Oryctolagus cuniculus: one gene and its partner. The protein of the gene in region 1 purifies or fractionates together with the protein of each later gene. This does not show direct contact. Links are inferred from orthologs where the notes say so. Each region holds a gene or a part of one and is shown on either strand. Other genes may lie near its edges.

Region 1 (11,421 bases):
ATGAGATTCCATTTCTTCAGTTGTTCCTTTAGCTCTGAATAGCTACAAAGCTGCTGGAGCAAACTGTGTTTTGATTGATGTGGAATTTTGAACTTCCTTCAATGGAAGTTCGCTGGGTTTGGTGCATTTTGAGTAGAAGTCAAAATGTTCAATGAGGATATTTTTGTAAATATTCCTTCCAGTTTTCTTTACTAGAGATGATGTACAAAAATGTCCATGTTCACATTGAAACAAGACATTTCTCCAAAATTCATGCAGAGATATCTTTCAAGTCAAGAGATGTGAATGGGGAGGTGGAGAAGGTGTGTGGGGAGAGTGATGTCAGTTCCTAGGGAAATTGCTTGGAGCTCAGGGCTGGATAAAAGCCTGGGAATTGTGAAGTTAGAGTTCTAATTTTGGTTTTTCCACTGATTCACTTGGGACCTTGAGAATGTCTGGCCCGTTTTAATCATTCCATGCCTCAGTTTCCTTATCTGCCAGAAGTCTCTGGCTAGGTGCCCAAAATTGTGAGAACATACTGTTCAGGGCCATAAAAATATAATCAGAGTTTAAAATGCAAAACATCCTAGTTACTAGACATCTTGACTTAAAGTGTAAATGTTAAAAGAGTTACTCCTTTCATAATCAAAATGAGAATTTTTAGGAAGCATATCTTGAGGCAGGGGATGGAATTAAGCAAATAAGACCACCAGAAGGGAATGCATAAACAAAAAGAGTACGGATGTGAAATGCAAGTTCCAGCTTTGCCACTTAGCATCTGTGCAATCTTCAGTTTTCTCACTGGTCAAATGGGAATGATGACATTCCCCCAGAGGGTAGGAGTGATTACAAGTCGGGTGTTTTGAGGGTTTGAATTCACAGACACCATGTGCTTTGCAACTTAGAGTTTCTCTTATAATTGCCTATAAAGAAGCCTGGTCACCCAGAGCAAAGAATTTGTTAGTGCTGCTATTTGGTGAGCATGTACTATACTGCAGTGCTCTGTACTTATGCTGAATACTTTGCATATATTGTCTCCTGCACTCCCCGCAAAAGCCTAATATACTTACAGCTGTAGAAATGAAGACAGACAGAAACAAAGCCTGACTTCTGGATCCACTGTATTTCTTTATTTTGCTTTGAGTTCTTTTTCTCAACTGTGCTTCTTTGCCTGACTATTAATATTCTTTGAAGCCACCTTAAAATTTCAAGACTAAAGCAGCAACTTGAGTATATTTATAAAACATGTTATTTTGGTCCTGTGTCTATGCACCCCTGGAGACCTGCTCCGTATCCACTGGGATATTTGGGAATAAATCATGCTCAGCAGCAGTTTCTGTAAAGCACTGAGAACTTAGCCACCCAGAATTTACAAAACAACATAAAACAAAGTATATGAATTGCCAGTATGTTCACTGATAAAAGTATCTGTGCTTAGAAAAATAGTCATCAAGAAACCTTGCACACACTCTTACTAACTGAAATACCTTCATTAACGGAAGGTATTTCTGTAACATGGACCAATTGTGCATATAGTGAGACACTGCTCTCAGAGGTCATGCTATGGCAATTATTAGTTCCCAAAAGAGTAAAATTTTGTAAGCTCTCTTTATTAATGTGTCTTTTGATTAGGAAATACTCTACTCTCCCTTAGAGAAAATTTGAGAAATATTTTTGTAAAGGGGTGCAGTGCTAAAGAAAATCCGTCTCTTTGCGACCCCACTGGAAACTCAAATCCACTTCTTGTTTGCCTGGACAATTCATTAACATTTCCAAGCCTCATATTTTTTCTATAAAATGGGGATTTTATCTTACACAGTTGGTGAAGCTAAATGAGAATGGTATCGGATCATAACCACTAGTCCACAAATGTTGGGAATGTATTCCTCCCCTTGGAAAAGGATCTTAAGGCAAAGCTGCTTAGAGTCTGCTCTATAGATTGGGCTCCCATGCCCCCAGTAAACTACTTCTTAGCCTTCCTTGATAATAGGCATTGTTTTCTTTTCTTTTTTTTAATTTTTATTTATTTATTTTTTTTTTGACAGGCAGAGTGGACAGTGAGAGAGAGAGACAGAGAGAAAGGTCTTCCTTTGCCATTGGATCACCCTCCAATGGCCGCCGCAGCCAGCACGCTGCGGCCGGCGCACCGCACTGATCCGATGGCAGGAGCCAGGTACTTATCCTGGTCTCCCATGGGATGCAGGGCCCAAGCACTTGGGCCATCCTCCACTGCACTCCCTGGCCACAGCAGAGAGCTGTACTGGAAGAGGGGCAACCAGGACAGATTCCGGCGCCCCTACCGGGACTAGAATCCGGTGTGCCGGCGCTGCAAGGTGGAGGATTAGCCTAGTGAGCCGCGGCACCGGCTCACTAGAGGTGATGGGCCCTTTCCCAACATACACACAAGACATATGCACTTGTTTCAAAGTACCTATGAGCCGGCGCCATGGCTCAGTAGGCTAATCCTCCACCTTGCAGCGCCGGCACAGCGGGCTTTAGTCCCGGTCGGGGCACCGGATTCTGTCCTGGTTGCCCCTCTCCCAGGCCAGCTCTCTGCTGTGGCCCGGGAAGGCAGTGGAGGATGGCCCAAGTGCTTGGGCCCCGCACCCCATGGGAGACCAGGAGAAGCACCTGGCTCCTGCCTTCGGATCAGTGCGGTGCGCCGGTCGCAGCACGCCACCTGTGGCGGCCATTGGAGGGTGATGGACCACCATCGCCCACTCTCTGACCTCAGATTAAGAAACCTGCTCTAGTAACTCATTTGGCTTCACCAAATCCTCTTATAAAACAAGATATTTTGCTATATTGCAGTTGAATGAAGGAAAACTGCAGGTCCTTATTTTTTATAGCTGTGGAAACAATATAGTGACAGAACACAAACTCATAATAGACAACTGAATAAGTTGCACAAAAACCGAATTAAAGTGTTGGTCGGATTTGCCATCCTACAACTTTTTAAATATACAAGTAAATGTTTGCCATGGAATCTAAAGGGACAGAGGAAAAATGGAGTGGCAGCAAAACTACTTAACTTAATTTACATAATTGTGACCATACCACTTTCCCATATAATACAATGAATATTAGGACACTGGGCAATGGAGCAAGAAACAGAATGTTCTAGAAAATAAACTTTCAAAATTGGTAAGCATCATGCACTTTTTCCAAGAGACATTTTATTGTGTTGAATCAAAGGTGGCTCTTTGGCACTGAGCAGCTCCACAGAGTCATCCAAGTCCTCATTGCCTAATCCTGAGCTTGGCTGCACACTGCTGGCGATCATCAACTTGTTTGGATTTCAGATTACATTAGATCTCTTCATATAGCTGCCACCACCAGACAGTTGAGCTGGCTGTGTCGGGCCTTCCTGTTGGTAATTTTGTTTTTAACCTTGTGCTTCAGTTTAGTTTACAGAAGTCCTTGCAGAGGGATAAAACCTCCTGAGAATTGTCTAGATGATCCTACACCTGCAAGAGAATACCACTGGGAGAGAGACCAAGTTCACATTCTGACCCCATGGTTGCTCTGTGAATCTTTAGCAACTCACCTTCCCCATGCTTCTTTTGTAAACTGGCAGTAACCTTCCTTTCCAGATAGATTTGAAGCCTCTGATGCTGTTCACAGATACAATACATACAGAAGCATTTACTAACTATTAAGTTCTGTGTGACTGCCCACTCATTTCAGTATTTCCTAGCGGCCACCTAAAAGAACTTCTATAGGATTCATCATACATGGACCGCTGAGATTTGTATTTGTCATCATTCAAACTTTATTTTCAATTTGTTTAATTCAAAAGTGACGCTGGGGCCGGCGCGGTAGTGCAGTGGGTTAATGCCCTAGCCTGAAGCGCCAGCATCCCATATGGGCGCTGGTTCACATCCCGGCTGCTCCACTTCTGATCCAGCTCTCTGTTGTGGCCTTGGAAAGCACTGGAAGATGGCCCAAGTCCTTGGGACCCTGCACCCCCGTGGGAAACCTGGAAGAAGCTCCTGGCTCCTGGCTTCAGATCAGCGCAGCTTAGGCCTTTGTGGCCAACTGGGGAGTGAACGATTGGATGGAAGACATCTCTCTCTCTCTCTCTCTCCCCGCCCCCCATCTCTCCTCTCTCTGTATAACTCTGACTTTCAAATAAAATAAATAAATCTTTAAAAAAAGTGATGCTGTCTCTGGTTCTTTTATTTTTTAATTGTCTTCTCTTTCTAATTTTCTTCTTGTTCTTAATGTCATCTTTGTTCTCCCTAGCAGAAAAGACAAGCTCAAAGTTCATATTAAGCTTAGCTCTCCCCCATCTCCAAGTAACTATGTCCTGTGAATTCTTCCCTTATATTTTTTCCTGGAGTTCCTTATCTTATTTTATCATGACCACTTTTCCAGCCTTGACCCAACCATGTCAAACTTGAATGACAGCAGCAGTTTCCCTGCCTTCAGTCTCTGCCTCCTTACTGCCAGCCTATGTGCTATTGTCAAATTCATCTTGATAAATTACTACACTAACTAGCTACACATCTCTGTTCCAGAGTCTTTAATAGACCACCACTGCATGTAAAATAATATCTAATCTGTCCCCAACCTGTCTTTTCAGCCTTGACCACTATGGTCCGCTTTGCCGGTGACACCCACTGTCCTCACCCTTCTTGGCTCCTGGGACTTTGCTAACTGTATTTCCAAGGCCCACATTTCTTTCTTCTCCAGAGCCCACATCCCAGCACCCTGTGAAGTATTTTTGATGCCTCACAGCTCACAGTGATCTAGTTTCCTGATTTAATTCTAGTTGTGTTTGGAACATCACTAATCAATTTTAAACTAACTGTTCTTTAACATTGCATGTGTCATTGTCTCCAAAGGCAATTCAGTTATGGCAACTTATTTATGTTTTATGGAATGTTTCATATCCTCATCTATGTTGCTGGATTTTACTTTAAGGCAAGGAATCTAACCATAATGATTTGATTTTTCCCAGAGTAGTAGTTTTCAAATTTTGCATGGTAAAGAAACAACTGGAGAACACATTAAAAGCTATGTCCACATTAACAGGCAGAAAGAAATATAAATGACATTTCAAGGACAGAAGTACATCTGATTCTTTTTTTTTCTTGTAATTTTCTTGGTGCCAATTTCAAGGTTCAAGTTGCTAGTACAGCAACAATTCATAGATTTGTCATCTTGGTTCAGAACAAAGAAATCACTTTCTTAGTTTTCCTAATTATTCTTTGCCTCTTCCAAGCCCAGAGAGGGTAATGAGGGGGGAGTGAGGCCCAGATAAGCTGTGTTTCCAATTTGTTCCAAGTGGCACTGATGTTGTGGTCAATTTAAGCATCCGTATTAGTTCCTTTTTGTTGCTGTAATGAAATAAATGAAGCAAGGTCCTTTATAAAGAAAGAGATTGATTCAGCTTACAGCTTTGGAGACTGAAAGCTCAGAGAGCATGATGCTGGCTCTGGCGAGGGTCTCCCCTCGCTGAGGCGCAATCATGGCAAATGGCATGGTGAAAGTAGTGGGTTTGAGACAGGAAGACAGAGTGGAGAGAGGCCGATCGTGCTCCTTTATAACAAACAAGGTTCCCATGTGACTTATACTAATCTCTGCCCAGGGCAGAGGCTCCAATGACCTAGAATTATCTCACTGGACCCGCCTTTTAAAGATCCCATGACTTCCCACATCACCACAGTGGGTACCAAGTTTCCAGCACATGGACCTTTATGGGATACACCCACACTTACCCAAATCGTGGCAGCATCTCACACAGGGATGGCACGGGAATATCACTGTTCACTTTTGGATACTGGGTAGTGAGTGTTTCTCTCTCACTCTCTCTTTGTTCTTTCTCTTCTTCTTCCATCCCATGCTCACATTCTGTCACTTTTTTTTCTTTTAGATCGACTTTGAAGATGTGATTGCAGAACCAGAAGGGACACACAGTTTCGACGGCATCTGGAAGGCCAGCTTCACCACCTTCACTGTGACGAAATACTGGTTTTACCGCCTACTGTCTACCATCTTTGGCATCCCAATGGCACTCATCTGGGGCATTTACTTTGCCATTCTCTCTTTCCTGCACATCTGGGCAGTTGTGCCTTGCATTAAGAGTTTCCTGATTGAGATTCAGTGCATCAGCCGAGTCTATTCCATCTACGTCCACACCTTCTGTGATCCACTCTTTGAAGCTATTGGCAAAATATTCAGCAATGTCCGCATCAGTATGCAGAAAGAAATATAAATGACATTTCAAGGGTAGAAAGTCCTGATTCTTGTTTTTCTTTTTAATTTTCTTGGTGCCAATTCCAAGTCTCAAGTTGCTAATACAGCAACAATTTATGAATGATGTATCTTGGTTCAGAACAAAGAAATCACTTTCTCAGTTTTCATAGCTATTATTTTCTCTTCTGAGCTATTTCATCTATTTTTGGCAGTCTGAATGTTTTAAAGCCATTCCAATGTTTTTCCTTACATTTTGATTTGGATGAGGATCACTGTTTTGTTGGCTGGGATATGAACATATTATTGACAGATAACTTGAGAGAGATATGAAGAACTAAGGAAAGAAAAGAAAAAGAACACACAACTTTACTGCCTACTCCAAAATGTTGATTATTTTATAGAAAGGGGAGAATTCCAGGCTATGGCCATTGAGTGTACAGGTATGTGGGCAGATTTTAAGCAGATCCTGCAGCCCCAACTGTCTGAGGAATTAGTGAATCACTGTGGGTCACTTTAGTGATTCACTGGGGTCTAGTGATCCTTACTGAGTTAGAAAATATAATCCTCTGCATTCACATTATGTGACCAATACCTTACACTTCTCGAAATTTTAAACTATTATACTTCCTGTGCCTGAATATTTGTTAAATAGATAACAAGACCTAAGTGCCTTCCTCTTTTTTCTCATTGTCCTTTTCAAATAGAACCTAATTCTTCACTTTCATTAGTTCTGCAGCCTCTGAAAACCAAAATTAGAGAATCCATTCTCTAGTTCTCTGTGCCTGTGTGTACTGACAGACATGGCATAGCATAGATCTGCACTTGATCATGCAGCATCTTTATCCATATTGAGTATGGGAGCCCTAGAAAGCAAATTACAGTGGACAAATGGGGCTGAGTCCTCTCTGGGCTGGCAGGGGTGGAAGCCAGCGTTCCCTGCCTCTCATCAGCTGAATGTGGTCAGCATGTCTATTCAGCTCCGTTTATTTTCAAGAATAATGACGCTTTCCTGAATCCACACTAATCCATCACCGCGGTGGTTTAGTGGCTCAACATTGTGTTCCCTTTTCAGCTGATCAGTGGGCCTCTAGGGATGGGATGTCAAAATGGAGGCCATTGTGTAAGACTGTCAGCGGTGTTGTCAATGTGACCCTTCTAAGTAAAGCACTTGCAACCATCTGTTAGCCTGGGACACTAGTCCCTCCCTCTCCTAGGAGCTTTGGCCCTCATCCAAATGCCACTTTGCTCAGAAAGAAGATGAGGAGAGGAGGCAGTAGCAAAAGATTGAGCTAATTTGCTGGAATCAGTTCAAATTCTTCTGAATTCAAGCTGAGGAATTTCACCTGTAAACCTGAGTCATGCAGAAAGCTGCCTGGTACATCCATAAGCTTTTCATTTCTCCTGTTCATATTGTTATCCTGCCCTTGGGGACTTTTTTAAACCTCCAGTTATGCTTTCACTTGTATTTTCATACACTTATTAGAACTTTGCTTGATTTTTTTTGCCTCTTCCAATCTTCCTGAACTTTTAATTGCCGACCTGTTATCTCCGATATTTTGCATTTAAAACAGACACTGGCATGGACATAGTTTTACTTTTAAATTGTGTACATAACTGAAAATGTACTATACTTTTTACGTGTAAAGATATTTTTATCTTTATATGATGAACATCACTTGGGAAATGGCTTTGTGATTCAATCTGTAAACTGTGTATCCCAAGACATGTCTGTTCTACATAGATGCTCAGTCCCCTGTGCAAATCAACTGCTGGTCCAAAAAACTGCTAAGATTTTATATGCTTAATGATATATTTTACACTTTTTTATCCTGCATGTCCTATAAAGGTTACAAATTCTGCACAATAAACAATTAAAACTGTCAACTTCCATTATTTCCTCCTACATGGGCATTTACGTGTCAGTGTTTGTGTCTGTGTATTTGTATGTGGTGAGCATGTGCATATTGTGTGTGTACATGTATGTAGTGTGCAGGGGAGTGTAAAGATTTCTCACTTTTAAATCTTGACAGAGTTATTTAAGTGGGATCTTTCTGCTAAGATTAACCCCATTCATGGATTACTCCAAATAAAAATTATCATTAATGATAAATGTTATATGCTATCTCATCCAATGTGAGCCCCTAATAACTTTGTGGGATGGACGTTAATGTCATCATTTGACAAATGACACAATTTGTATTCAGGGGGTTGGGCAAAGCCTTGAACTTTACCATGATGGAACTGAAATTTCTTAAGAGGTAATTATTTTTTTCTTGGCTAAGTTCACATTCAGGGTTTCTGTGTCAGGGTTCACCAAAGAAACGGAACCGACAGCAGACATAGAGAAATGACAGATGATAGGTGATAGAGAGATTGAGATGACAGACATAGAGATCAAGATGATAGAGACAGAGATAAAGATGGAGATAAGAGATGATAAAGGTTAAGACAGAGAGCAAGAGATTCATTATAAGGAATTGGCCCACACAATGATGGAAGCTGACAAGTTCCAGGATTTGCAGTAGGAGCCAGCAAGCTGAAGCTGCAGCAAAGTTGATCTTGTTGCTCCATTCCAAAGGACAGCAAAATCAAGACCCTGGAAGAGCTGATATAGCACTTTGAGTCCAATGGTAGGAGAAAATCGATTTCCCAGTGTGAAAACAGTCAAGCAGAAGGAATTCTCTCTCACTGGGAGGATGGTCAGCCTTTATTTCTCTTCTGTGGATTGGATGAAGCCCACTGGATGAAGCCCATGTTAGGAAGGTCAATTTGATTTACTCTTTCTACCAATTTAAGTGTTAATCTCATCCACACACACCCTCAAAACCATAAACAGAATGATGTAGGACCAAACACCTGGAAATCCCATGGTTCAGGTAAGCTGACAAAATGAACCCTCGCAGCTTCCAAACCAAATTTCATGAAGGGTATCTTCTAAGCCTCCCACCCTGAAGTTCTCCGAGGCAGTTAACAGTGTTCCTCTCTTGCTGGGCTTTCAAGAAAGCATGGAGGCTGCTTAGTTGGTAACCCAGTCTGGATTTGTGTTTACCCAACAAATCCACTGCTATTATACACATGGAGACATGGCTTTGATCAAGGCAGCATTTGACATCCTGGCTGAAGTTAGGTCTCCAGTTCAGGCAGAATGAGTGACATGACTTTAAACAAGGATTATCTTTCCTTTGGTTTTATGATTTGAATCTAAACAAGTACATATTAACAAGATCAGACCTATTCCCATTTTGTTTGAGTTACATACATGAAATAGTTCCATCCCCACAGATAATCACATGGCTTCAGACCACTCTTAATCTGCATTGGGAGTAAATAGCTTCATACATCACACATTTAGTAAATGTTAGTTACATAATAATACACATCAGTCCAGTGAAGCAAGGCTGTCTAAACAGTTGACTCATACCTTCCCTGATGTGGGTGCTGATATTCAAACGTTCTGCTTTTTAAATTGGAATTCTTGTTTATGAAAGTGAGAGGAGAGGAGAATTTAAAAAAATAAGGTACCTTAACATAATACAAAAGGGTAAAACCATAAAAAAAATCATGGCTATGAATACATAAAAATCATATCCTTTTTTATTTTTTATTTATTTTTTGACAGGCAGAGTTAGACAGTGAGAGAGAGAGAGATAGAGAGAAAGGTCTTCCTTTTTCCATTGGTTCACCCCCAAAGTGGCTGCTATGGCTGGCGTGCTGCGGCCAGCACGCTGTGCCTTTCCGAAGCCAGGAGCCAGGTGCTTCCTCCTGGTCTCCCATGTGGGTGCAGGGCCCAAGGACCTGGGCCATCCTCCACTGCACTCTTGGTCCACAGCAGAGAGCTGGACTGGAAGAGGAGCAACCAGGACAGAATCCGGCGCCCCAACCGGGACTAGAACCCGGAGTGCCGGCGATGCAGGCGGAGGATTAGCCTAGTGAGCCACGGCGCTGGCCGATCATATTCTTCTATATATAAAAACTAGTAGAAACAAAATAAATGATAGAATGATAAAAGGAAGCATATTACATATGTAATATATAGTATACATTACATATATTTATATGTATATATATCACATGCTTAGTACTGTACTTTAAAAGATGTACAGAGATATAAAGAAAAAGATGAGCATGCCAATTGAAAAGTATGCAAATAAATGAAAAGGTAATTTACACAAAGAAGTGTATAATCATATGAAAAATGTCCATTCATCAAAAATGGCATGCAAATAATCAAAATTGTGAGATACGATTTTCACCTAAGTTTGCAGAGTTGAAAAATGAAAGTCAAGTGCACATTGCTGAGGACACTGGAAAGAAAGCACACACATTCATTGCTTCTGTGAGGGTGAGTACGAGAAGCCTTTTGGGGGACAATTCAATGTACGTAAGATAGAATCCACCGTGCCATTTACTAAAAAATGTAACAAAGCATACCTTGGGTCATCAATCAGAGATGTTCATTATTTGTTTGTCAGTAGTATCATAAATTGGAAACAACAAAAATGTTCAAAAACAAGGAATCAGATATGTTATTTGTACACTTTGATATTTTATCCAGTGGGATAGTTAATGAAGTGGAAATATGTCCATGACATGATATTAACTTAAATGGTAGAGTTAAACAATTGTCTGAAGTGTATGTAGCTGACTTTTGCTTGCTTAAAAATTAAAGGAAGTAGATTCAAATAGATGCACCATTTCTGAGTTCCTGCTACATCACAAACATTATTGTTCTTACACAAGATTTCAAGGTAAGTATTGATGTTTTCATTGTACAAATAAGGTTTAGAGAATTTTAGTGAGTCATCCATTCACATAACTTCTAAGTATTAGAGCTATCATCACATCCCAGAGTGTCTTGCACCAAAGCCTTGCTCCTCACTCTCTATCTTCCAGCTCTGGGCAGTGTCTGTGCCCTGAGCCTTCCTCTTCATGAAGCTTTCCATTTCCACTGGCTTCTCACTGGCTCGCAGAATCATTTTCCATGTGTAGTAAGTGAGTAATGTGAGCATAGCTGAAGCAAACGTTAGCAATAGTTTCATGCACCAATATGTGTGTGCAGACTTGGCACACAGAGATTTTTTTAAAGATTTTATTTATCTATTTATTTGAAAGGTAGAATTACAGACAGAGAGAGGGAGAGACAGAGAAAGGTCTTCTATCTGCTAGTTCACTCCCCAATTGGCACAATGGCTAGAGCTGGAGCGATCCAAAGCCAAGAGCCAGGAGCTTCTTCAGGGTCTC
Region 2 (11,991 bases), on another chromosome or scaffold:
CCAGTGTTTGTGGCTGTTTGGGGAGTGAACCAGAGGATGGCAGATTTCTTTCTCTCTGTCTCAGTCTTCCCCTCTCTCTCCATCACTCTGACTTTCAAATCAGTCCATCAATAAAAACATTTTTAAATAAAAATAAAAGATAGACTGGGCTAAATCATGATGATACAGCCACAGCCCACCTGTTTGTTGGCAGAGGGAAGGGAAGGGAAGGGGAGGGAAGGGAACGGAAGGGAGGGAAGGGGAAGAGAGAAGGGGAGAGGGGAGGAGGGGAGAGGAGGGAAGGGGAAACCATTATTTTCCCCATGAGCCATCCCAAACTTGCTGGTCCCTGTATATTTAGGTCACTTCATTCTCTATAGCCTCTAAAATGCACTGAGCCCATTAATGAATTTATTCCAGGATTATATCTAGGCAGGGGGAGATGGAACAGGGGAGAGAAAAGGCCAAGCTCCAGATGTGAGCCTTGATTTGTGAATGGCCCCGCAAATTAATCCTTCTAAAACAGGAAATCCTGGCAGCAGGCCTGAGCACTCTCTCAGGATCTGGGTCAATTTAAGCGTCCTCTCCCTCTCCTGCAGCCTTCAACCTTCTCGCTGCTCTTCCTCCTTGCACACAGTCAATCATCCCCTCAGCCCTCACACACACACACGCACTCATTCACTCATGTACACACTCGCTCATTCATACACACACACGTACATGTTCATATACACACTCATACATGCACTCACACACACATGTTGTGCGCATTTGCTTTGCTTTACCTTTGCAGCTTCCATCAAACAAGAAAGGAAAATCATTTCCAGGGTTTCCTTCCCAGAGTGTTGGATGGCTGGGCAGTGAGAGGGGGAAGGGCAAGGAGAACACCTGCTCCTCTCATTAAAGGGCTCCCAGGGCAGATCTAGGAGGTGAAGACATCTGGGAGAGGGGCTAGGTGACAGCTCCTCGCCTTCCGCTGAGCAACACGCTGCCACCAATCGCTGGGCAGCGTACTCCTACTGCTTACTAAGAGAGTATGTCAAAAAGTTTGTGGGAAAATGCAGTTAAAAGATATTTATTTGGGAGCAAAAATTTGAAAACCACACATAGTGTTTTCAGTATATGCATTTTCCATGAGTCTTTTGTAATAGAACTGTAACTTTGGGCTAATCAGCAATAAGCCCCAGATGGTAAGGAACCTATACTAATCAAGTTCTCCCTCTCTCTTACTGTCTCTGTCTCTTTCCCTTTTTTTTTAAGCCAAAGAAGTTTTGGCTGATTTTGACCAAAGAAGTTGAGGACTCCTCTTTCCACTCCTGACACTGCCATGTTTGCTTAGAAAGATGAGGCCCAATGGGACTGCTGTTGAGACACAGTGTGTGATTCCAGCACCCCATATCTGAATGCAAGGTTCCAGTACTGGATGCTCTGTTACAAAAAAAAAAAATCCATGCATAGTTTTTCACAATATGCATTTTTCATGAACTTTTTAACATGCCCTTATATGCATGTATTTCAGTATATTTTGCACCAACATAAACTAAATTTTTTAAAGATATATTTGTTTCTTTGAAAGTCAGAGTTAGAGAGAGGGCAGGCAGAAGACAGACACACACACACACACACACACACACACACACATATATAGAGAGGGAGAGACAGAGAGAGACAGAGAGGAGAGAGAAAGGTCCTCCATCCTCTGGTTCACTCCACAAATGGCCACAACGGTTGGAGCTGGGACAATTGGAAGCCAGGATCCAGGAGCTTCTACCCAGTATCCCATGTTGATGGTAGGGGCCCAAGCTCGTGGGCCATCTTCCACCCACTGCTTTCTCAGACACATTAGCAGGGAGTTGGATTGGAGGTGGAACAGCTAGGACTCAAACCGGAGCCCATATGGGACGCTGGCGGTGCAGACAGTAGCTTAACCAGTTGGGCCATAGCGCCGGCCCCATAAACTAAGTTATTAATTCCATTTTCTATGAAGTTATTGACCTAATCTTGGACCTCCAAGAGGTTAAGAAATAAGTTTGTCTTTTTTTTTTTCTTTGACAGAGTTAGTGAGAGAGAGAGAGAGAGAGATCGTCCTTCCATTGGTTCACCCCCAAAATGGTCGCCACCGCCGGAGCTGTGCCAATCCGAAGCCAGGAGCCAGGTGCTTCCTTCTGGTCTCCCATGTGAGTGCAGGGGCCCAAGCACTTGGACCATCTTCCACTGCCTTCCCTGGCCACAGAAGAGAGCTGAATTGGAAGAGGAGCAACCGGAACTAGAACCCGGTGCCCATATGGGATGCTGGTGCTGCAGGTGGAGGATTAACCAAGTGAGCCATGGTGCCCGCCCCGTAAGTTTGTCTTGATCATCAATATGTTCCCAGCACCTGGGGCAGTGTCATGCAGAGTACATACACAATAAGTATTTTTTTTTTTTTAATTTTTTTTTTTTTATTTTTTTTATTTTTTGACAGGCAGAGTGGACAGTGAGAGAGAGAGAGACAGAGAGAAAGGTCTTCCTTTTGCCGTTGGTTCACCCTCCAATGGCCGCCGCGGCCGGCGCGCTGCGGCCGGCGCACCGCGCTGATCCGATGGCAGGAGCCAGGAGCCAAGTGCTTTTCCTGGTCTCCCATGGGGTGCAGGACCCAAGCACCTGGGCCATCCTCCACTGCACTCCTGGGCCACAGCAGAGAGCTGGCCTGGAAGAGGGGCAACCGGGACAGAATCCGGCGCCCCGACCGGGACTAGAACCCGGTGTGCCGGCGCCGCAAGGCGGAGGATTAGCCTAGTGAGCCGCGGCGCCGGCCCACAATAAGTATTTTTGACATGGATTAATAAAATTAGTATTTAGGATTGTTTCTCTTCCTCCTGCTTGTCTCCCTTCACCTTCTCCTCCTTCCTTATAATGACTGACTTCCAGCAACTCCTTAGCACTTTCTTTTCCCTCGGGTTCTGCACACTTGACGGGTTCCCCTGGGATCTGCCCAGGAGCAGTCCTGCAAGTTGAGAGAAGTCCTCCCACATGTTCTGCTGCATGTGTCTCATTCTGCGGGACAGGTTCAGGGGCTACAAACCATTCTCTTTTTTTTAAAGGTTTATTTATTTATTTGAAAGACAGATTTATAGAGAGGCAGAGGCAGAGAGAGAGAGAGATCTTCCATCTACTGGTTCACTCCCCAGATGGCCACAATGTCCAATCCAAAGCCATGAGCCAGGAGCTTCTTCCAGGTTTCCCACACGGGTGCAGGGTCCAAGCACTTGGGCCATCTTCTACTGCTTTCCCAGACCATAGCAGAGAGCTAGATCAGAAGTGGAGCAGCCGGGACTCAAACCAGCACCCATATGGGATGCCAGCACTGAAGGCGGTGGCTTTACCCACTGTGCCACAGCGCCGCCCCCGAACCATTCTTTAGAAGATGTCGTTTGGGGTTTGTCTGAGTTGAAGTTGCTACTCACAGTGTGATCTGTAGACAGGGGCATCAGCAGTACCTGCGAACTTATTTGAAATGCGACTAAACCTCAGCCAGCTCAGAGTCTGTCTTTTAGGTCCTCAGGTCTTGCTGCTGTTTAAGCACTGCTAGGACTAGATGGGTAGACAGCAAGGCAGGTTTCAGGTATGTGGCGTGTCCTCTGAGAAGGCACAGAGGAGGAGGTCAGAGGCAGGAAGTTCATATGCAAGAAACACAGAGAGAGAAAAGGGGTGAGAAGCAGAATTCAATAGAGGAAGCATTCAGACCGGGATGCTGGTGTGGCACTCATGGAAAGGAAGAGGGAGGAATGAAGGCTGGACAGGGAGCTCCCCAGGCTACAAGGCAGATCTCACCAAGTTTTGGCCAACCCAAGCCAGAGCCAGGAGCGTTCATTAGCAGAGCTCCATGGTGGACAGCAAATGGCCAGGTCTTGTAGCTCAGCTGCATTCAGTCATGGGCAAAAGCCTGCCTGGGAGGAGGGTGGCCCCTGCACAAAAGCTGAGGCAGGGTCACAAGTCATCAACTGCAGAGACTCTCGGTTAACAATACTCTTGCCGGCGCCGTGGCTCACTAGGCTAATCCTCCGCCTTGCAGCGCCAGCACACCGGGTTCTAGTCCCGGTCGGGGCGCCGGATTCTGTCCCGGTTGCCCCTCTTCCAGGCCAGCCCTCTGCTGTGGCCCAGGAGTGCAGTGGAGGATGGCCCAAGTGCTTGGGCCCTGCACCCCATGGGAGACCAGGAGAAGCACCTGGCTCCTGCCATTGGATCAGCGCGGTGCGCCAGCCGCGGCGGCCATTGGAGGGTGAACCAACGGCGAAGGAAGACCTTTCTCTCTCTTTCTCTCTGTCTCTCTCTCTCACTGTCCACTCTGCCTGTCAAAAAAAAAAAAAAAAAAAAAAAAAACAACCACTCTTGCAGCTAGGAAACAAGGGCGCTCTCAGCAGTCTGTTTCTGTGGCTACCACATGTGACATATGCAGCCAATTTTGCAAGATACCTATGTGGGTTGGCGAATGCATGGAAAGCACATTTAACAAAATGCCACATTAAAGGAGGCCTGACTTTCGTGCTTTGCTAGGACTGCTGTGTTGTATTCTTGTTCTCCAGGGAGCAATCCCCCTGAGGGTCCCTGGGAGACAAGCTCCAGAGAGTTCCTTCTCCTAAGGAGACCAAGGAGAGCCCCTGTGCTCACAGGAGTCAGTCAACAAGATGCAGTGGTCGCAGGTCTCTGACCCCACCCTCCACAAGCTCAGTAGCTCCAGGCCCAATCCTGTTGGGCCAGAGAACAGGGGCCAGTGGAGAGGAAGCAGGGATGACAGAGGACGGGGAGATGAGGGTATGCACCCTGTGACCCAGGGATGCCTGCACCTACCGGCTTTCACCTTCATGCCCCTTCTAAGTCCATGCACATTTGCAAAGACAGCCGAGCCCACGCACAAAACATGTGCATGAGAACACGTACATGTGACAAATTCACCTCCACCCTCAGATACACACCCCAAAAAAGCCAAGTGCACAGATCCTTCTCCAACCTTCACACCAACTTGTACGGCCAACCCCCCTCCTCTACTTCTGCCATCCCAGCAAACTCCCAAATCACCCTTTGGGTGCCGATTTAATTCACAGACAAGCAATGCACATAAATAAACCCCACATAATCTATGGGAACAAAAGCAGACAATGCAATCAGACATTCAGAAACACAGGGGCTTTGGCGTAATTGAAAAACCAAGAAACATCTGGAGGCTGTGTCTGGAATTTCCAGACATGCTTTGAAAAACATTTCCTTTGGCTATCCATGCCACCCAAACCCTGCAGAGGCAGGAGATAGCCTGGTCCCCTCACGGAGAGTGACTTCTAGGGTAGCCATCTCAGCCACCCTGCTGCTCTGGGAGTACAGCTAGGGAACACTTGTGTCTGCAAAGGTGGTTAGCAATTCTATGGAGCAGTGGCCAGTAGGGAGCTTGCTCATTTACAAAGGGGGCCAATAACATTCCTCACCTACTAGGTTGCCATAGGAACACGGGCGTCAGTAGCTAGCACTGGGAATGAGCCAGCACTATACGGAGAGCAGTCAGGATGTGTTGTTAGGATTCTCCTCTTGGGAATTCTCCAGCCCCAGGGATTCCACAGCCTCTCCTGGCTCCCACTCCTAAAGCACTCGTGCCTTTGCAGACCCCAGTCCCAGCTTCCACACACTTGCTGGCTCCCAGATTCAGCAGGCAGCATCAGCCTGCCCTGGGATTTTAAAAACCCTTCTTTCCTCTTCCCCATTGTGGTTTTGGCAAAAGGGATTTGGTGGAGAGAGCCCAGCGGCTGCGCATCCACAGGATTAGGAGACCAGGAAGCTTATCTCCTGGGCTGCTGCCCAGCTGGGGATGCCCACCTGTGGATGCCCAACTGGGGATGCGGCTGCTGTGGCTGACCGCGGCTGCCAGGACTGGGGCCAGGGTTTCTCCCAGGCGAGGGCAGGGGGCATCGCAGGGTTGCAGCCCTGTACCTTTTCATGGGTTTGTAGGAAGCTGAGGAGCGATGTGGTTCTTTATCTCTTGTCTGTAATTCCTCCCAAAGAGAAGCTATTGGGTGTCTGTCAAAGGAAAGCCGTGGAAAGGTTTTGTTGTCCCGCCTTTCACCCAAAGGCAGTTCCTTTCCCTGGGGTCCACTTGGCTTTCAACCGGTTCCCGGGTGACCTGAAATCCTGAGTTGTCCCCATCTGGTTGCCCTGGGAGACTCCTAGCTCTCTCGGTACAACCTGTTCCTCCCCCCGCCTCTCCCTCCACTGGGCTGCGCCCTCCTGGCCCCCCTCCCTTCCCTTCCCTCGCCTGGGGCCCAGCTGCGCCCTCCGGGGAGAAACCCGCTGCCACGGTACCCGCGGGTGGGAGGGAAGCGGGAGGAGCCGGCGGGCGCAGGAGGGGTGGCCAGGCGCAGAGGGCGGAGGCCGAGCGCCGCGCAGCCAGAGAGGGGCGACTGGAGGTTGCATCTGCAGGAGGAGGCTTCTCAGCTGCTTGGTTACCCAGACAGCGAGATCGGCAGGGAGCAGGACAGCGTCTCCCTGACGTCAGGATCCAGCAAGGGGACCGCGCCAGCAACCCTAGTGCCCCCCGGAGCCCCGCCGGCCGACCGCGGGATAGGGGCCGGACGCGAGGCGCCGGCGGAGCTGGCGCTGGGGGCGCGGGAGCCGGTCGGCTGGGGCGCAGCATGCCCCGTGCCCTCGGGCTATGGAGATCGCCCTGGGGCCCCTGGAGAACGGCGGTGCCATGACCATCCGAGGAGGAGGTGAGGAAACGGCAGGATGCAGCCAAGCAGCGCCGACGGCTGGGCTCGGCGATGGCTCCCAAGAACCGGCGCCGAGAGGGCGCGGCTGCAGCGCGCGGCGGGGCGCAGAGCCGGGGGAGCGGCCTCTGCCGCCGCAGCCCCCGGAGCTGCCACAGTCTAGACGGTCGCCGCTGGAGGAAGAGGAGGGAGAAGGCGACCCCGGCCTGAGCGTGGCGGAGGAGCAGACGCTGGGCGCGGGGGCCCTTCACCACCAGCGCGTCCTCATCAACATCTCCGGGCTGCGCTTTGAGACGCAGCTGGGCACCCTGGCGCAGTTTCCCAACACGCTTCTGGGGGACCCCGCCAAGCGCCTGCGCTACTTCGACCCGCTGAGGAACGAGTACTTCTTCGACCGCAACCGGCCAAGCTTCGACGGCATCCTGTACTACTACCAGTCCGGGGGCCGCCTGCGCCGGCCGGTCAACGTCTCCTTGGACGTGTTTGCGGACGAGATCCGCTTCTACCAGCTAGGGGACGAGGCCATGGAGCGCTTCCGGGAGGACGAGGGCTTCATCAAAGATGAGGAGAAGCCCTTGCCCCGCAACGAGTTCCAGCGCCAGGTGTGGCTCATCTTCGAGTACCCGGAGAGCTCCGGGTCAGCGCGCGCCATCGCCATCGTCTCGGTGTTGGTCATCCTCATCTCCATCATCACCTTCTGCTTGGAGACCCTGCCCGAGTTCAAGGACGAACGCGAGCTGCTCCGCCACCCCCCGGTGCCCCACCAGCCTCCGGCGGCTCCTGCCCTGGGAGCTAATGGCAGCGGGGCCGTGGCACCTGCCTCTGGCTCCACGGTGGCTCCGCTCCTGCCCAGGACCCTGGCCGACCCCTTCTTCATCGTGGAGACCACGTGCGTGATCTGGTTCACATTCGAGCTGCTTGTGCGTTTCTTTGCCTGCCCCAGCAAGGCCGAGTTCTCTCGCAACATCATGAACATCATCGACATCGTGGCCATCTTCCCCTACTTCATCACCCTGGGCACCGAGCTGGCAGAGCAGCAGCCCGGGGGCGGAGGAGGCGGGCAGAACGGCCAGCAGGCCATGTCGCTGGCCATCCTCAGAGTGATCCGCCTGGTGCGTGTGTTCCGCATCTTCAAGCTCTCCCGCCACTCCAAGGGGCTGCAGATCCTGGGCAAGACCCTGCAGGCCTCCATGAGGGAGCTGGGGCTGCTCATCTTCTTCCTCTTCATCGGAGTCATCCTCTTCTCCAGCGCCGTCTACTTCGCAGAGGCTGACAACCAGGGGACCCACTTCTCCAGCATCCCCGATGCCTTCTGGTGGGCGGTGGTCACCATGACCACGGTGGGCTACGGGGACATGAGGCCCATCACAGTGGGGGGCAAGATCGTGGGCTCCCTGTGCGCCATCGCCGGGGTCCTCACCATCGCCCTGCCCGTGCCCGTCATCGTCTCCAACTTCAACTACTTCTACCACCGGGAGACGGACCACGAGGAGCAGGCAGCCCTGAAGGAAGAGCCAGGCAGCCAGAGCCGGGGCACCTCCCTGGATGCAGGAGGCCAGCGCAAGGCCAGCTGGAGCAAGGCTTCCCTCTGCAAAGCTGGGGGGTCCCTGGAGACTGCAGACAGTGTCCGCAGGGGCAGCTGCCTCCTAGAGAAATACAACCTCAAGGCCAAGAGCAATGTGGATCTGCGGAGGTCCCTGTATGCCCTCTGCCTGGACACCAGCCGGGAAACCGACTTGTGAAGGGAGACTGGTGGTGGTGGTGGTGGTGGTGGTGGTGGGGTCAGCATAGTCCCTGAACTTGGGCATCCACTTCCTACCACAGAGTATTGCAAGTCCACCCTGTCACCGGTGCCTGTCCCTCTTCTGTCACTCCTTCCCCTCCTTTCCTCCCCCACTCAGTTCCCCCATTTTTCCTCTTCTTTCCATGACACCAAGGGTCACCTATTTTTAAAAAGTACCACATTCCATGACGCAGGAGCTGCTGAAATGGTGAATGCTGTCAGATGGATGTATTTGTAGCCACTTTCCTATACCCAGCAGAGGGATAACCCAAACAGAAATGACTTTAAATAGCCCAGATCCCAAGAGATTTTGTAACCCTCCCTACCCATGGGTTCAAGTTTGCTTTATATACGATTATATTTGTGTATAGGGGGAAACATTATTTTTGTGGCCAGTGAGTGGATTTTTGTACTGCGGTTCAGATGGGGATATTTTGATTCTATTTCCAAGATACACATTGTATTTGTAGGGGAGAGAGAGAGCGTTACGGTGATGTTTTCTGTGAATTCATGTCAGAGCCAGAGTCCAGTACCTCTGTTCTTTGTTTTTTTTGGGTTTTTCAGGCTGCTCTATTCTCAGATGTGTTTTCGGTGCTTTGTGTCTAAGACAGGGAACATTCTGGAAGAAAGGCAAGTCTGACATTTTTATGCGCCTTAAACAGTTCTCGTAACTTTTTCAAAAAGCATATCACGGATGTTGGAGGAAGACTTCTGATCCTTCACTCTCTTTATTTTTATCCCAGGAAATAAAATGTTGCTTGGTTGGGGCAAGTGTTAGTTTTCCTACAGCCGAAGCAGTTTTGGAAATTTTGCAAAGTAGTCTGTCCCTTGCTGTGTGTGGTGTTGGAGTGTCAGCAAATGAAGCCTTGAAACCTGTGCTTTGCTTAGTGACATGTTGTGATGGGCCTCGTCTCTGTCTCCCAGGCGATGATGGGTACAGTCTGCTTGTCTCGGGCTGCTTGTCACAGGGACACCCCTGCAGCATGTGGTCTGAAGAGGTGGCAGTAGACCCATGCTCAGTGTGGAGTGCGAAGGGTGCTTGGAGCCCCACAGTCCCACTGTGATCTGCTGTGCTGGGTTTCCGAAGTCTGCAGATTTCAAGCTGTGCTTGGTACTGCTCTGCAGCTCTGAGCGACAGTCCTGATTCTCACACATGAAACCTATTCACTAGATTCCCTCCTCGGTGTGAAAAGTCAGAGAAAAGGGTTCTTGGTCTGGGCAGGGTCTGCAGGGTGGACAGCAGCCCTGAGAAGTGCAATGGAAAGGTTTGCTTTTTCACATTCAAGTTTGGCTCCTATTCTGTGCGTCCTTGCCCCGACTCATCCCTACCCCTAGGAAGAATCCTTTTGCTTTCCTTTGCCCTGGATGGTTGAGGCACAGCATCACTGTGTGTAGGTACAACACTGGCTCAGATTTCTCTCCGGATGGGGATTAACGAATCAGCCTTGGGGCTCCACATTCCTGCTGTTGCTTTTTGCAATGAACAATCCAAAGACTGGTTGTTTTCCCATGTTCACCAGAGCAGGCTGGCGGTCTCTACTCACACCTTCCCTTGGAATGACAGTGAGCTCACTGGCTCATTCCAAGTGGGGAGTGCAGGTCTCCCTATGAGTAGGGAGGAGCTAGTGAAAAGGCATCCCTGAACTGTGGATTCCATCGAGGCATGGACGCCAATACTACAAGACGGTGTCTGTGAATGCAGCCAGGATCTGTTAGCAGCACATCTGAGGGGGAAGCAGATCGTGCAGTAGGGCCATTGTTTTTCATTACATGCTAAGGCAAAGGCAAAACAGAGAGGCTCTGCTTATTTATAATTTGCAGTCTGCCTAAAAGCAGGGCATCGTGCCAAAGCTCAACTGCGCCCGCTCTCACTCCCGAGCCCTCTATGCCTGCAAAGCTGGTTTTTGTAGCTTAGCACACAGCTAGGGGTTTGGGACTGGGTATCAACCCCTGCAAACCCAAAGCAATGTCACCACCTTTGGCCTGAAGGCCCCATTCCTTTGGACTTAAGCAATAAAGACAGAGCAACCCCCAGATTTCAGACATCTCTAGGTGCCAAACAGGGTGTTGCTGGCCAGATTAAAATGGAGTGCATGATTAAAATGTGCAGGACATGGGTGCCATCTTAGGCAAATCCTCAGGGAGAGAGAGAAGCAAATGAGATGGTGAGGCTCCCTGTTTTGCATGCGGAGAGGATACTGAAGAGCAGTTTACAAAAGGGTCATGGTGGTGCCACAGGGAATCCTGGAGTCAGGTGCCCTGCTGCGGCTCTCATCCTGGAAGTCACTGATCTCATATTTACCCTGGGGCACGGGGAGGGACACCCACTGGCCAGCTGGACTTGTGGTGCACCTGTTGCTATACTTCTAGAAAAAGAGTCCAGTGTTTCTCTCCAGGCGCCAGGCACAGGCTTTCTGCAGGAGCAACAGGAAAGGGATCTGAATGTCAAGGCTCTTCCCGGGGTACCTGAGGTAAGGAGCCCCCTCCTCCTCCGCCCTCTCTGCTCGGCTGTCATTGGTTTTACACAGCCTTTGCCTTCCTGCACACAGATAAAATCAAGTGACCTCTGCCAAGCTCTTTCTCCAGATGTTGCTCCCTGGCTCCCGGCAGGAAACCACTTCTGGGTTTGTAATCTACCTGCTTTGGGAAAGAAGTCGCAGAAGGCAAGGTTGCTCCTGGATGTCCTGTCCTCGTGTGAGGACAACAAAGCACCCCCCCCTTTTCACTGCTTATTTTTTTTTTCTTTTCCTGCTGGTATGCTTGCTGAACCCTAAGCAATTACAGTTTCAGGAAAACAAAATCAGTTCACTAACTTTAAAAGCCCCAGTGCTGGGAACTCTCCCCAGAGGGGAGAGCAAAACACAGTGCTGGCTCTTGAGGAATTTTTCCAGACAGTTGGGGTTTGCATCATTCTAGCGAGATTGATAGAGGCACTCCCAGGCTCGGGGCAGATGGAGCCAGCAGTTCCTTTGGGTGCGGGGACGCTTGGTCCGAGGCCCCTCCAGCAAGGACAGACTTGTGGCCGATGGAGTTCGGCTCTGGTTGATGGCCAAGGGCACCTGTCTGCTGGCCCCCTAGCACTCTCCTCTGTGTGATGAAGGACAGTGGAAAAACACTTGCCTTCACAGAGCTGCAGTCGCACTGGGGAATCAGTCAGGGTGCAACAGGCAAGCCACACCAGATAACCTGATAATTTGTAGAAAGTGGGATAAAAAATGAACTTAGGGGTGTGTGTTTAGCCTAGCAGTTAAGATGGTAATTGAAAAAAAAAAAAAAGATGCTCCCATTCTGCATCAGAGTACCTAGGTTCAAGCCCCAGCTCTGGCTCCTGAGTCCAGCTTCCTGCTAATGCAGATCCCGGGAGGCAATGGTGGTGGCTCAAGAAACTGGGCTCCTGCCACCCAGGTGGGAGACCTGGATTGAGTGACAGGTTCCCAGCTTCAGCTGGGCATCGCCCTGGGCACTCTGGGCCTTTGAGGAATGAACCAAAGCATGGAC

The links.
Region 2: the proteins of CAV1 (region 1) and KCNA5 purify together in Homo sapiens (affinity purification with western blotting, with the first as the bait; 3 studies listed by BioGRID). This does not show direct contact. The link is inferred for Oryctolagus cuniculus from reciprocal best matches to the Homo sapiens genes CAV1 and KCNA5.

What each region holds. Positions count from the first base shown.
Region 1 is NC_091434.1:152,012,105-152,023,525, forward strand, and holds the end of CAV1 (caveolin-1), read left to right. Parts: intron 1-5,857; coding exon 5,858-6,199; 3' UTR 6,200-8,054; downstream 8,055-11,421. UniProt on the Homo sapiens protein: May act as a scaffolding protein within caveolar membranes. Forms a stable heterooligomeric complex with CAV2 that targets to lipid rafts and drives caveolae formation. Mediates the recruitment of CAVIN proteins (CAVIN1/2/3/4) to the caveolae.
Region 2 is NC_091440.1:104,407,949-104,419,939, reverse strand, and holds KCNA5 (potassium voltage-gated channel subfamily A member 5), read left to right. Parts: upstream 1-6,637; 5' UTR 6,638-6,655; coding exon 6,656-8,452; 3' UTR 8,453-8,505; downstream 8,506-11,991. UniProt on the Homo sapiens protein: Voltage-gated potassium channel that mediates transmembrane potassium transport in excitable membranes. Forms tetrameric potassium-selective channels through which potassium ions pass in accordance with their electrochemical gradient.